Linked DNA regions of Drosophila melanogaster. Changing the gene in region 1 together with any one later gene gives a genetic interaction. Each region holds a gene or a part of one and is shown in the gene's direction. Other genes may lie near its edges. The genes, in order: spdo, Rbfox1 and fng.

The links.
Region 2: of spdo (region 1) and Rbfox1, changing one enhances a phenotype caused by changing the other (phenotypic enhancement), as found in Drosophila melanogaster (one study listed by BioGRID).
Region 3: of spdo (region 1) and fng, changing one suppresses a phenotype caused by changing the other (phenotypic suppression), as found in Drosophila melanogaster (one study listed by BioGRID).

The regions. Positions count from the first base shown.
Region 1 is NT_033777.3:30,474,848-30,479,783, forward strand, and holds spdo (sanpodo), read left to right. Parts: upstream 1-1,836; 5' UTR 1,837-1,965; coding exon 1,966-3,327; intron 3,328-3,406; coding exon 3,407-3,742; 3' UTR 3,743-4,002; downstream 4,003-4,936. Other genes in the region: PH4alphaEFB (prolyl-4-hydroxylase-alpha EFB), read left to right, coding at 4,272-4,580, 4,746-4,933.
Region 2 is NT_037436.4:10,479,730-10,484,680, forward strand, and holds the start of Rbfox1 (RNA-binding Fox protein 1), read left to right. Parts: upstream 1-1,682; 5' UTR 1,683-2,216; intron 2,217-4,951.
Region 3 is NT_037436.4:20,946,248-20,951,321, reverse strand, and holds the start of fng (fringe), read left to right. Parts: upstream 1-1,809; 5' UTR 1,810-2,020; coding exon 2,021-2,152; intron 2,153-5,074. UniProt on the Drosophila melanogaster protein: Glycosyltransferase involved in the elongation of O-linked ligands to activate Notch signaling. Possesses fucose-specific beta-1,3-N-acetylglucosaminyltransferase activity; extends the O-linked fucose on the Notch EGF repeats.

The DNA.
Region 1 (4,936 bases):
AGTCGCTTGCATTCTGGTAATTACTTTTGCCACGTGCGAGGGCAGCTGTTGCACGCACCTATGCTGTTTTACTACAACTGAGTGTGTATCTGTATCTGTAAATGTATCTGAGGAGGCGCCCCTCACACACATGACTGCAGATACATATCTCTTGCTTATATGCGAAGGGGATCTATGTGGCGTATATATATGACAACTGGCAGCGGAAATAATATGGGGGAGAGAGCAGGGTGCAGGATGCGGTGAGACAACTCCCCTAATCAAATAATGCCAGTCGCACTCAGGACTCAGGATTCAGGATCTATCTTTGCGGCTGTTTCTCTGCTGTTCAGTTCAGTTGAGTTTAGTTGAGTTTCTGTTCCTGCATTTGTACCTTGGTTGTGTCACAACAAAGGACGAGACAGGATCCTCGCAAACAGCTGACAGCTGTGTGCCTGCCGTCTCTGTCTGTTATCCTTGTGCGCTGTCATTGCCCCTGCCTTTGAGTATCTGCATCCGAGTATCCTTCGGATACTGTGCAGAAACCCCGCACTCTAGTCGCGTGCCGTCTGCCGGCGTTTAACTTTATATGCATCTTAAATTTTCCCACCGACCAGCTGTTGGTGCCTCCAATTTCTGGCTAATCCGCTTGACAAATGCCCCCGGCTGCGCTGATTTGCTTCTGGCCAAAAGGCAATTAAGTTGGCCACCACAAAAGGACAACACGCGTGCATCCAACCTGCGGGCTCAAAGGCATGTACATATGTATGCACGTGGGAGGCGAAATCCGGATAAAGTTGACCCACGAACTCTTCGTTTTTTATCGTTTTTCTCTGACAACCAAATGTAACGGTCGCTTGGGCAACAAAAATCCGGGGAGGGCTGCCTTTAGGGAAGGTTTTTGGTCTGCACAAACATCAGAGCTGAGCAAGGATTATTTTTAAGAAGCAAGCGCGACTGAAGGGTACCCCTTAAAATAAATAAGCGAAGTGAAATAATTTAATCTCTTAAGTTCTTTTGTTTCATTTCTTTCTGACTGAAGCTAAGCTCTACTTTATGGCTTGACGCTTTTACGTCAGAAATATGTGCATATTAAACTAAACTGTTTTGTGAAAGCATTCATTAAAAGTTTGTTTTAATGGTGCCGATATACGGATGCTAACCATATATAATAAAAGCACGATATGTTTTCAACAAACAATAAACTATTTTAAATATTTCGGTCGAGAAACAAAGCAGCGGATGAACAAAAGGAACAAGAACAACTAGTTCTTATATGATTATAATAAAGAAAAAACACTTTTATGATAGTTAAATTATGTTGAATTCTCGGTGATGACAGTGTGCTGATATGATCTGCTCTACACTGGTTATGTTCGAGTATAATCTTAGGTGGATTTAAAACACATTCATCATACCCCTCAACTCGCCAACTAAGTGGTAGCAAAACAGAATTAAAGTCGCAAGGGAGCGCATATGAGTTGGTAAATAAGAATTAAAAACGCCGATAAACGCGAACCGAATAAAACGCCGGCTGCTCCTGCAATTCGCCAGGGGTTTTTAGGTTTTGGTTAGGATCGCGTTGAGACGTCTCAGTTGGAAGTGAAATGCGTTTCAACCCCCGTTCGTTCGTCGAGCAGCAGGAGCAGATGTTTCTGGGTTTTCACATTCGGTTCGGTTCCAATGGCCTAATGGAACGCGCCAAACACAGTCGGTCATTGTACGGGTGTACGGGTGTCTTATGTACAAGTAAATGGTGTTTTATGGGGTGGGGACTCGTATCGGAGCACGATCCACTCGACTGCGCGCCGGCGCAGGAAGTGGAGGAAGTTGAGGAGCTGCCGTCTGGAACGGCTCTCTAGATCAGTCGAGTCGCAGTTGCCGAGGCGAGCGGATCGTGAACAGTGCTACGAACCCAAAGAAAACCCAAAGTAGTGAAAGAACACCCCTAAGAGGTTGTGGAATTGCCACCAGTACAGTGCCAACATGTCGCAGCATAACTATACGAACCCGGCCTTCTGCCAGAACAGCGAGTATTACCCGGTGCCCAGCGGCAACTCGTCGCGAGTGGAGTCCATCTACAACAGAAGCCTCCAGATGAACTTTGGAGCGGCTCCTCCGCGCGCCACTCGAGATCCCCGCGAGGGTCCACTGCGAATGCAGCGTAGCATGTCCACGCGATCGGTGACGCGGAAACAACACCAGCAGCAGCAGCAGCAGCAACACCAACAGCAGATACACCAGCAACACCTGGCTCAGCAGCAGCAACACCAGCCGCAATCCTCTAGTGGTCGCTATGCCTTGGTTCCCCTAGAGGAACTGAACAGCAGTAGGGCCAGTAGATACGCCATAGTTCCAGGACAGGCGGCACAGAGACTGGCCCGATCACAGGATAATCTGGATCGCTATGGCTCCAGACATGGATTGCACGAAGAGGAGGAGCCTCACTCCTTCCACGAGGAACCCCATCAGGAGACCCAGTTTGCCAGCTTGCCACCGATACTTAATTTGCCGCCCAAGCCCAGGAATATTAACAACAATACCAATGCCAATCAAACCCAGATTAAGCATGCTTTTAGTAGCGACTTCGGCAGCAAGACCTTCTTGATAGTGGATAAGAATAGCAACCAGAGGTACCAGATGGTGCCCACCGCCGAGGACGAGGAGCTGGTAGACGAGAACCAGGAGATCATACAGATGCACAATGGCCGCGCCCATCGATATGCAGTGGTGCCCACGGATGCGGACGACGATGATCTGGCGGAGGAGCAGGAGCAGCAGGAAACCTGCCTGAGCAACATGGAATTGAGCAGGCAGTACGCAGCGAGGACCTCAACGCCGCAGCAAAAGAATGCGGCTGCCGCTACGAGGGCCCTGCACGAGCTCCTGACCACGCCCAGGAAGATGCAGCCGCCTCCGCGATTGGCGCACTCAACGCCCCGGAACGCCGCCCACCACGAGCAGCTGCAGCTGGAAAGGCGCTTGGAGATCTACAAAAGCCAACAGATCTACCAAAGCCAACAAGTTGGAGCGGTAGTAGGAGTCCCTCCAACCTTGCCACTTCGCCAGAATCGACTCTCCCCCCAGAGACTTCACTACGAGACCGTGAAGCCGCTTCCCATGCAGATCGCCGATCGATCCATGGCCGTCATCAGTCCCAGGGTCCAGGAGCAGGGGCAGGAGCAGGAACGGGAACAGGACATGAGCAGCATCCAGGGAAAGGGCAAGAAAAACAGCTCCTATCCGCAGAAGATGGCCAATGCCACCATTACCTTGGCCGTTGTCTCCCTGATGCTCGTCTTGGGCAGCACCATGAATGCGGGGCTCATCATCTACATGATAGCACACGTAAGTACTCTCAAATACTTTTAAAGATATTCATTTTGTCCATGGAAACATTTGAATAACACTTTTTCTTCGCCTACAGCTCGGAAAGTCCTTTTACCTGCAGTTTAGCCTGGTGGCCTCCTTCTCCGGAATGGGACTCGGCTTCCTGGGATTCAAGTCGCGCCACTGCGAGTGGCTGCCGAACAGGAGCTATAGTTCCGGCTATATCCTGGTCACCGTATTTTGCCTATTCAAGTCCTGCGGATTGCTTGTGATACTCGTGGTGGACCCCTTCCCCGGATTTCCTGTCCACGATGTGACCACTGGCGTCATCCTTGGACTGTCGACTTTCACCATGTTCTTCATCGGATTGGGAGTGCTGGGCAGCTTGTGGTGCCACCGACCTCCGCCAGACAACCGCGTCAACGTGGTCTAATACCCTGGAAATAGTTAATCCTAGACTCTAATTAGTTGTACACCATCCACTTCGAATTCAAGAACTTGACACACCGAACGGCTAAAAGACCAAAAACAAGAATTAGATTTATAATCAGCGGAAGATCATCATCCCCCAAACGACTGTATATAACAAGTGGGTTGTACCTATTGCTAACACTTAGTTTGCTTAACTTATTGTTCACCTAAGTATAAGTATGTTATGGAATAAGAATAAAATAAAGGCACGTAGATACCAGCACAGCATTTTGTATCAATAAGGAAATGGTTAAAGTGTTCAATTAGGTTAGTTCTTTAACAATCAAAAATATATATATGGTGAATAAACACTTTCAAATATAGGTCGAGTGTTAAAATTATAGATTCAGCGTCGTGATACTTAACTTAATTGAGTAAACAATTATTTTTCAGCTTTCAGCACCTTTTAACTATTGAAATACGGTGCATATTTTAAAGCAATGTGTTTTGCTCTTCTGTCTACTAAGTTTTGCCCTCTCTTTAAATTGCAGCAAAATGGACGAGTACCAGAGGGAGCACTCGGATGCCTCCCATGATATAACCGCCTATGTATCCAATCCAATCAATGCGTACCTGCTGACTAAGCGGCTAACCACCGATTGGCGTCAGGTGGAGAACCTCATGGAGCACGACGTGGGCACGGATTTCCTGCAGAACATCACCCAGTATCGCAGCCTCCTGAAGTTCCCCTCCGACGAGGACCTCAATGGCGCGGCGGTGGCCTTGCTCCGCCTGCAAGACACCTACCAACTGGACACTTCGAGTGTGGCGAGGGGCAAGCTGAATGGCATTCAGTACAGGTAAGTTTTTGTCCAACTAAATGCATGCGAGAAGTAAGGAAGTAAGCTAGAGCTATACAAAGCTGAGCACAGTCATCGATTTTCTGGTTACCAAAAAAATAAACTTCTCGAAGTGGAGCGGCCAAGTCCCTGGGATACTCACTGACCAAATTTATTATCCCGCAGCACGGAAATGTCCTCGGATGACTGCTTCGAGTTGGGTAGACAATCGTACGTGAACCACGACTACTACCACACGGTGCTCTGGATGAACGAGGCGATGGCCCGCATGCTGGAGGAGCCGACCAACCACACCCAGAGCTTCACCAAGGCCGACATCCTCGAGTACCTGGCCTTCTCCACCTACAAGGAGGGTG
Region 2 (4,951 bases), on another chromosome or scaffold:
GAGTTGTCCCTGCATTTCTCCCGTCCTTGCGGTGCTTTAAATAATTGCTTAGAAGCCGACGAGCAGACTCAGTGGTAACAATAATAACCGCCCAAGCACTCCGACTATGATAATAATAGCAAATAGAACCTGCCGCAGATGGAAATGCCACTCGGACAGACGCCGCTCCCCTTTCTCTTACTTTTCCACATAAGCCTTTGGCTTATGACCACACCCCCCCACTGCAAATGCATTTCACTTACTCTACACACACACACACACTCGTATAGTAGAGAAAGTAAGGGCCAGTGAGAGTTTGTGTGTTTATGCTCACTTTTAATGTGCCATATAAAATAATTTAATGACCGGCCAGAGACGAGGGTGTCTCCTGGTAATGAGAAAAGCGATTGGACAAAAACGGGTGGCTGTAAATGATAATAGTGGCATATTATGATGCAGATAGTCATGACAAATGGCTACGTCGAACTTTAATTGGTAAGCGGACTTGGACTGGATCGCCATATAGAAAAGCAATTATATCTGTAATTATAAACTTATCTATTTGCCATTAAGAATGGATTACAATGTTTGAATGCCATTTGTAAAGCCATAATATCTACAAAGTATAAGTAAACAAATTTACAAAAATGACTACAAAAAAAAAGTCTTAAAAAGTACTCAATACAATTTTCATGTAAATCAACCCTTTTCCATTTTCTCTTTCTCTCCTGCTGAATTTTAAATTGTTATTTTTAAATATTTTCGTTGGGCTTTTTCTTCGAGCTTAATCTGCGGAAAATTTTCCATCGGTTGCCTTAAGTCAACCCTAATTAGGTTATTCTTGGCAATCCCTTGCTCAATCCCCTTTTAAAGCGGCCTTAAAAAACGGAATTAATTTTCCGAAATTTATATTTTTCTTTTGATTTCTTTAGATTTTTGGTTTTGCTTTCGTTCTTCGTTCCCGATTTTCGTCCTTCCACTTTACTGTCCTGGTCATTTTCTACAAAATAGTTGCGCTTTATTTCCAGGCAACTTCGTCGCTCAAGTGACAGCTGTCCTCACCTCCACTTCCGCTAGAATGTCAATAAAAATTCAATTACGTTTTCCGCCAAAGAAAAGTTGCTGCTGAAAATACGTTTTCCTTATAGCCTTCTGTTTCCATTTAAAATTGCCTCTCTTTGTCGAACGGAATTTGTTTGCCAGCCTGATCGATTTGTGATGCTGGGCCGTGGAAATGTGGAAATCAGAGACTTGGGCACTTATACTTAATGGCCTAATTATGTAACCAAACGCCCACACACAAATAGGCTGAGTAAATAATCATAATAATCAGCATTTTGGCGGGGGAAAGAAGAAACCATAAACTTCTCGGGGTTCAAATAAAAATAAATTGTGCGACTAGGCTTGGGCAATTTGGCGGAAATGGTTTTCTGCCTTGAACACATATGTTTATAAGATTTATTCTGTTTTTCTGCTTATTTTTTGTGGTTAAATAGTTGGCCAAGTTTATGCTGATGATGCCGTAGGTCGTTGTGCATTAAACCAAATTTAATGTTACCTTTTATCAGGTGGCATTAAAGAGCTCTTTCACCAAAAATATACATTTTTCTCATCCCTCAAGTAAGCATCAAACTGTTATACTGACTGTAGTGTTATACGGCAAAGGCTGCTGCATACTTACAGGCTCTTTTGCGCAAAATTTCAGTCTCCCATTGCAAGTGCTCACGTGAGGACGGAAAACATTTTGCTCATCGCTTTCGCCTCGCGCATTGGCAAGTCGCGTAAAATTCTCGTGTTAACAGGAAAAACGTCACAAATTTTTCAAAACCACCCCAAGTCCCATTACCCGCAGTGGGAAAAACCTCAAATTCCTTGGGCTATCCGTATCAATCAACGACTAAAGGCTTAGTGTCCCTTTGTGATTGTGTGTGCTTTTTGTGTGTGCACTGTGTATTTCGTTGTGCTGCCGGCTTCAATTAGCAGCTTTTCCTCATTCTGCCCGCTGCTCTTGTGTGCGTTAGATTAATGAGGCAAAAGTGTTTTGTCGTGTCGTGCGTTAAATATTTAATACAATATCAAATAAATGTTGCATAAGCCGCCTGTCATTTAGCATCTAGTGCCAAAAGCAAAAAAAAAAAGAAAACACAAAAACGTGTGTTTGTTTCGTGTGTTTACCACAAGTAATTCGGACAGCAAACGGATTCTTTTTTCACGATTCACAAGAGCACGTCGATCAAGTAAGCCTTAGCTATTAAATATCACAGAAATAAAAATGTATCCCATTTAGCACATTAAGTTACCCATTTGAACAGCTTTTATTGGACTAGTCTTCCGCTGAGATATCTTGAGAATTTGCCCATTTCCCAAACGCATTTAAAACATTTTTATTGCCCATTTTTGCTTTATGTCCCGCATTAAAACATCTCCCGCTACGTAAAGATAATTTTGATTTGATATTCGTGTAATTTTTCCATTTGTTATTTGCCCGACTTCCATTGTTGATGGTCTGGCAGGGAATTTCGATTTGCGTTTACCCTTCATTTATTTTCAGCTGGAGATGCAAATAATGGTAGAAATGCCCGCAAAAATACTTTTACAGCAACAGGACTCCGGGGCCGATTTTCATTTCAAATTGCTCACATTAAGGGGCCACCCCCCCCCCCACCGGGCATCACAATCTCCCCCCTTTTATGGCACTCACATACCCTGTATCTGTGCATATATCCCCTTATTACCCAGCGCAGAGTACGAAATTAATTGTAACCAAACGTTTTGCTGCTTGCCGCAAACTTACTTTTATACTAGTTCATTTGCCACGCCCCTATCCCCCACGGAATGGACGCACAAAGACAACTAAAAGGGTATACACGCACAGCAACACTGAGAGAAATGGGTTCTGCATCGATAGTTATAGTTTTTAAGCCAAAATGTATGCTTATATTTTCTATTGCTTAATTTAAGACTTCTTTTTAGTGACTTTGAGCCTTTACTTTAAATAACTTTAAACTTTACTTTAAATAACAAAATCGAAGTTGTGACAACAGTTTTTCCTGCGTGAGCTTATACAAACACGTGCATGTACATGTGGAGCAAGAGGTAGCTAGCATCCCAACTAAGTAAATAATGCGTAAAACAAGTCAAGCGTTTTACAAACTCACCCATTTCGCCATCCCGTTTCCCCGTTAAACAAAGGGGGTTTCCACTGCAAAACGGGGAGTTTCCCCCATTTAGAAACAGCAGAAACAGTCAATTGTAAAATTGCTGCAGCCAACAAAGCGTGGCAAGGAAGCTAAGCGAGTGGCTCAGACTGTTTCCATAGGTAGTTGTTGCCCGATGTTGATGACGGCTAGGATTGCCGGATTCCCGGCACAAGAATCTCCACCGTATGTAATTCATTATTATGCTGACTGAGGCTGGAAGGCACTGACGGTAGAAGCCAGAAGCAGGAAAAAATATTTGCGCACATGTGGCTAGAGTTTCCATCACTTCAGCGTGCTGCTGTTATTCTTGTTAAGGCTAAAATTGTCTGTCACTTTGAGACTTCCGTCATCTGCAGGATAAAAGCTGTGGGCGAAAATATGCGAGCGAAAAATGAGACTCCACATTTTGGTTGTATGCTAAATACTTCACGGTCCACGGTCCTGTTTATGCAACAAGGATGTCTTTGAAAATATCAACGTTGGTTCGCAAAAAAGGATACCTATTGTATATATCGGGCTTAGAAAAATAGGGGATTTTAATACTAAAAAGTTTTAAAAAACTTAAAACTTTCGTGACATGTGAAGATGGCTCTCATTTATCAACGCTACAAAAGTAGCTCAAAATGGCCCTTTTGAAAATATAAGGACATGAAAACGATCAAATATACCACCTGTGTCGCAGTCAAAATGTAACAACAATTGAGAACAATAAACAAATGGCACACAAAATCAAAGTTTGGTTCGCTTATCTTTGTTTGACTTCTCTTCACTTTGACCCACCAAAAAGTTTTTATTTTTTTATAATGTCCTCGAAAAATGAGCGCCATAAATCATGGGGCGTAAATATGCCACCCCCATTTATCTCGTCTAACAAAGGGAAAACTTGCACCGTAAATTTGTATAAGCAGCAATTACTTAAAAAACTCCGAACCTTGACTTGTTTAGCCAACCAATGAAAAACTCTATTGTCAACTACAATATTTTTCCACAGCTCCATTTGCAGTTATTTACATGAGCAGATCCACATTTTTGGGTGGCAGATGGGTGCTGTGCCTGATATTTTTTTTTATGCTTACTTGCGACATCGCATTTTTGCACAAGACTTCTAAACTATATTTCGGACAATATGCAACATGATATTTTTCATGCTTATTCAACAGAAAAAAAATGAGAAGAGATTGCACATACGTTCCTCACAGAATTTCAATAAAATAGAGTAGGAATTTATGTGCACGATATGTTTCCGAGATTCTATGAGCATGTAATTTGTGGGTATTTCTGTCACAGTTTATATGTACAAAAATGTGCATTGCAGTATGCAGAGATCTAATGCTTTCCTTTTTTTTATTACTCAACTCATTTTGAAACTAGCCTTTTTAAATGAAATTGCCAAGCAGTATATACTTATATTATTGAATATTGATTTATTTAATTATTATTTGAAATGAAAAGTATTTTATTCCTTCCATTTTGTAACCCCTTTTCATATCCTTGCAAATAATTTGTCTTATTATGCTCCCCACTTTCGGGCATCATCCATCTTAATCGCTTTGACTTCTTTGGGTGGTTTTTCCTCTCATTTTTCTTCTTTTCCCTTTTCTAATAAGCCTAATGGCAACGCTGTAACCATTATTTCAAAGAAAAGCGTATAAATATAATTTATTCCACATAAACTTGATTAAATGCTTCTCTTTTCCACTTTCCCCCTTGCATTAGCATACGAAAAGTGGAAATGGAAAAATCCTACTTAAGTTCTTTCCTTCTGAAAAACA
Region 3 (5,074 bases), on another chromosome or scaffold:
ACACACTTATACGGAGCGGAATGGTGGCCATGGCTACGAACTGTACATACGGAATTGCACATTAAAAATGAGCAATGGGAGTGGGCGGAATACGGAGGAATGGGAAGTGGGTTCCGAGGGTTTCGTGGCAAGCGGGCGGCTGATTCCAGCCGAGCGATGTCTTTTTCTGTGGCAGAACAAGGTTGGAATGGCCTGCGTCGCCGCTACCACCGTCTCTGCACCGGTAGAAAAATCATACTGACATAATAATAAACTAATAAAAATAATTAAAACACTGTGAAGGCCAATTGATTTTGCTTGCTCATTTGGGTACACACAATGGCCACTTAAGTTAAACAGTTTTAAAGCCCCTGGGTAATTGTCGATGGTTCTAAATTTATGCTAAGCTTTTGTATTTAAAGGGCTCAGTCTTAAATAATCTAAAACATTAAACTATTAAGGGTTGGATAGATTTTTCAGCTGACACAAGGCGATAAAAGTTTACATTTTTATGCTGTTCTCTTACCGAATTAAATACGAATTCACTATTTTCTTGCAGTGCTCCGCCGACTCTGCTTAATGCAATTCAGGCGAAAGGCGCACAAAGGGACAGCGAACAAGATGCCGAGTTGCTGATTGTGCGGGCAGCGCAGTCGACGCGGGCAGAGGTGTCCGCAAAAGCTTTTGTCGCCGCCACAAACATGGAATATGACAAGCTGGTGAGGAGTAGGATGGGATTCGGATTGGGATGGAATGGGATCGAGCTGAATGGGCTGAGAGCAGCAAGAGGAGGAGGAACGGGAAGATACTGCTGGATGGTGCCTGGCATGCAAAGCATTGTCAAGTGGGGAGCAGGCCAAGTGCTACACAAAAACCGAGCGACAAAGAAACGTCGCAGAACGCTGCCGACGCACGTGAGATGTGGATGCATTTGATGCACGGAGCGAGAAAGGGATGTAGAAATTAGTAGTTTGAAATTATTGTAAAAGAATTCTTCTGTTTGTATTTTTTAGTTAAATTAATTACTTATCCATAAATACACTGTCTAACTATTTCTAAGCCACTTAAAGGTATAATATAATCTGAAAAGACCTCTCTATTTGAAATAAAATTTCAATGGTAAATAGAGGAGCGGCTCTTGAATGTTTAAATAAAGTTTAATGCTTGCACTTTTTGTTCCAAGTGCATGATTTAAGAGTGTGTAGGCTTCCCTGTGTGGGCAGGGTAGGGAAGCCAGGCGAAAGAGCGATGGAGAGAGCGAGAGACAATGGCGACAATAAAAATGCGATCGCACAACATGCTCCACAGATAAGTTAACGCAAAGTGACAACGTACAACTTTTAATGGAATTGTCGTCGCCGACGGTGGGCGGTGGGGCGTGGCAGGGTAGTCAGGAGGGGAGTGGGGGTATATATGACATAGCCAAGAAGTCACCGCATTTGGAGCGCTGCCAAGTCAGTTGAACTATGTTTACTTTAAGGATACGGCCGCCACCTGGAAAAGGGACCTTCAAAGGCTGCCTTACACGATTCCGAATCCCCGATTCCGATCAGAAGTGGGCTGAGTGGGGGTCGACACACGAGCACATGAAAATTGCCTTCGGCAGCTACTGTGGCACAAGCTAAAGAGAGAGGATGAGAGCGAGCGCGATCGAAGAGAGAGCGCCAGCTGCTCCCATTGGAGCAGCTAACGTTTCCAATTGGACCAGCTCAAAGGGAATTCTCTCTCTCTCTTTCTCTCTCGCTACTCTCACCGCTTACTGGTCTTTCTGGTTTTTGTTTTGTTTACGATTTTCGCTGGAAGAAGAGAAGAGTAGATCGCGCTACCACAATCAGTTGCTTTTCAAGCTTGCCACAAGCAAGACGTCAGTGCGCGCGTGCTGCGATATCGAAATCGAAATAAACTTAAAAGATATCGTAATTTCAGAAATCGAGCAGAATTCATACGATCCAGGAAAAGAACCAGCTAATATTGGAATATAAAACCTACCCAGTGATCAAATCGGCGGTGCTTCAATGTGCGCGTAGTGGTCCGTAACCGTATGATGAGCCTGACTGTGCTCTCGCCACCGCAACGTTTTAAGCGAATCCTGCAAGCCATGATGTTAGCCGTCGCCGTCGTCTATATGACCCTACTGCTCTACCAGAGCGCCTACGGATATCCGGGCATCCAAGTGAGTTGCGAGTTCGAGTGGGCGACATAATCCAGCTTGCGTGGGTGTTGTTAGCGCTGCGAAACTGTCAAACGTGTGTGCTCCGCACTGATCTGCATAAGTTGCAAAGCTGCAAAGGCCAGGCAATTTGCATTATCCCCCTTTGATTCCGATCCCGATCGACGTCGACTCGTGCACTTTCATAAATCAACGCCGGCGACTTGAGTTTTGCAGCTGCGGCTTTGGCCGTTAAAAAAACCTTTTACGCCCTTGCCTTGCATATAAAACAGTTTCGGTGCTTGGCTTTTTGCGCTTTTATACCCTAATAGGGGGTATCATAATTGAACACAAATTTCGGCGAGGAAGCGTTTTAAAAGGATATACCCTACGATTGGTGATTGGATGGGGATCGGTATCACGGGGAATTCATTTGGAACTAAGGACTTGATTGCTTTAGAAATTGTGCAGAAGTTTATGTAGAGGTAGTGCCTAGCTTAGTGGTTTGTTTCAAAAATGGAAATATGATCCTGAATTTATTTGTTTTTTTTTTTTACAATTAAGCTTATATTTGATTGATTTAAGGACAAGAGAATGTAATTCTGTTAAAGTTGATGTTCAAAGATCGGCTCGCATTATCGAGACATTATTAAAATCCTAAAATCATACCATTAGGCACTTGGAATATATTTTTGAAAATCACCAATACTTTCCAATTCCCACAAGAGTATTCCCAGTTTCGATTACCGAAGATCCAGTCAACCGTTCCTGAATTTCTTGGTTTGCCGTCGGCAGAGCGTCGCCAAAGCTTTCAGTTGCCTGATTCCAGGGCCTGTCAGGGTTCTGAGCCCTGTCTGCTCTGCCCATTTATTATTGTTCTCTTCTTACTCTTGATTTTTGCATAAATTTTTGTGTAATAAAATATTGTGTGCTAATATTACCAAGGTGTGCGCTGCGAGGGGGGATCTCATGGAGGTGAATCTCAATGGACTCGTCCAGTGGAAAACCTTGTCAGTTGCATCACAGATAACAAATAGTTGAGGTCCGTGGGAATGGCCTTAGTTAGCCTCCTATTGCATTGCAAACACTTTTTGGCAGGGTTTTATGCGAACAGGCTATTTTTAGAACCCTTGAAATTCGAACTATGTGTCCACCTTCTAGGATTATCATATTTTAAAAACTTTAAATGAAACGACGCCATAAGAAAATAGTGCACATATTTTTAATCAGTTGCATATACAGATTCCTCAAAGTTTTCTTCCAACATTTCTTTATATAGTTCGATTTTTGTTAAATGAACCCTACTGCTGTAGTTATACCTTCAACTGTTACAGCTCCCTAACTAAGGCTTACAAATTTCATAATATTAGTGATTCGAGCCGCTGGCAATAGAGTTAAGAGCTCATAATTGAATCAGCTGCAGCATCCTCAAAAATATCCATGTAATCCCCTTGCCCTTCACCACCTTCCGGCTTCTCAATTTGCAACTCAATTGCCCAACTTCGAGGCTTCGAGGCGAGTTTGTGGAGGCTCCCCTGTAATGTTTTCGCATGCTGCTGCTAGTGTAATTAAAAACTTTATGTTGTTTTAATTCGGACAATGCTGTTGACGTTGTGGCTCTTCCAGTTGCTCTACTCTTTTTTTTATTTTTGTGTTCTGGGGCTAACCGGAAACTTGGCAGGAATTAGTGCTACACACACATCGCACTACTAAATACTGAGCCGGATAAAAAACTGTCGACAACTGCTGTACTGTTGTTTGTCTTTTCAATTGAAGTTCTGTTCCATCGGAGGTCTGTGACTTGTCCCAGTTTAAAAACTGCATGCCGCGTACAATTTGCTTAATTCTTTTCGTACTTCGTATATGAGTGTTCTCTTTTTGTTCCTAAATGTTGCGCAAAAAGTGCTGCTTGTTGACTTGACATGACTTGGCTTGGCTCGATTCTTCGAACTGTTGAACAGCTAAACAGTCGACTGGACACATACTCGCGCTAAACTGGGCTTGGCATTCGCCTGATAAAGCAATAATTTCGAAATCGGGCGGGGGCGGGGCGGGGGTATTGTCATGGGGGTCTCCATCAGCCCCACAACCCTGCCTATCCAAGATTCCCAGTATCTGATGTCTCATGTCCAGTTGCAGCTCACGTCGCCAGGTCGCCAGGTTGGCATGTCGCGTGTTGCTGACGCATAAATCATAAATGAAACGAAATGAATAATAATCGTCAAACGATTTGCTTGTTTATGAATTTCTTTAAAGTGGCGCGCCAAATGGCCACCAGTCGCTGATTGATTTGAGTAGTTTGTTGTGGCTACACTGTGATCAGCTTACCGATGACACATCGATATGGATAGTAGATTACTTACGTGCATTTATGAACGTGCACAATATAGATTTTTTCTGTAATGACATCTAATTCTTCTTCTAAGATATCCGAATTTATTTTCCAGTATGGACTTTCAAATATTTTTGACGAGTGCATGGTAAATACATAATAACATTAACAAACTCCTAAGCTGAGGAGCATGCAAATCAGCTTGAGGAAAGCAACAGCCACAAGAAGCCTTCGAGGCAGCCCGAGAGACAAAGACCACGATGATGATGATGATGATGATGTGATTCCTGTTTTTGGCCAGGCCAAAAGCAGGTGCTTGCTCTTCACTTCCCATGGCCAACTTAATGCAGCTGGTTGCAGCTACCTTTCCGTGGCCCCTCGATCCACAAAGCCCTCCTTCTGCCCGCCGCTCACGTAATCAGCCCGAAAAAGTTGACGACATTAAGCCGCGGAAGGCGCCTGATAAAAGGAGTAGTATCTGCAGCTGGGCAACCGAGTAAAAGATACCCATATCTGGGTATCTGGGTATCTTTTGGTGGTCGCTTAATTGAGCCTGGATGCTCGGATGCCTGGCTGCTGAGCTGCTGCTGTTGTTGTTGTTGTTGTTGTTGTGT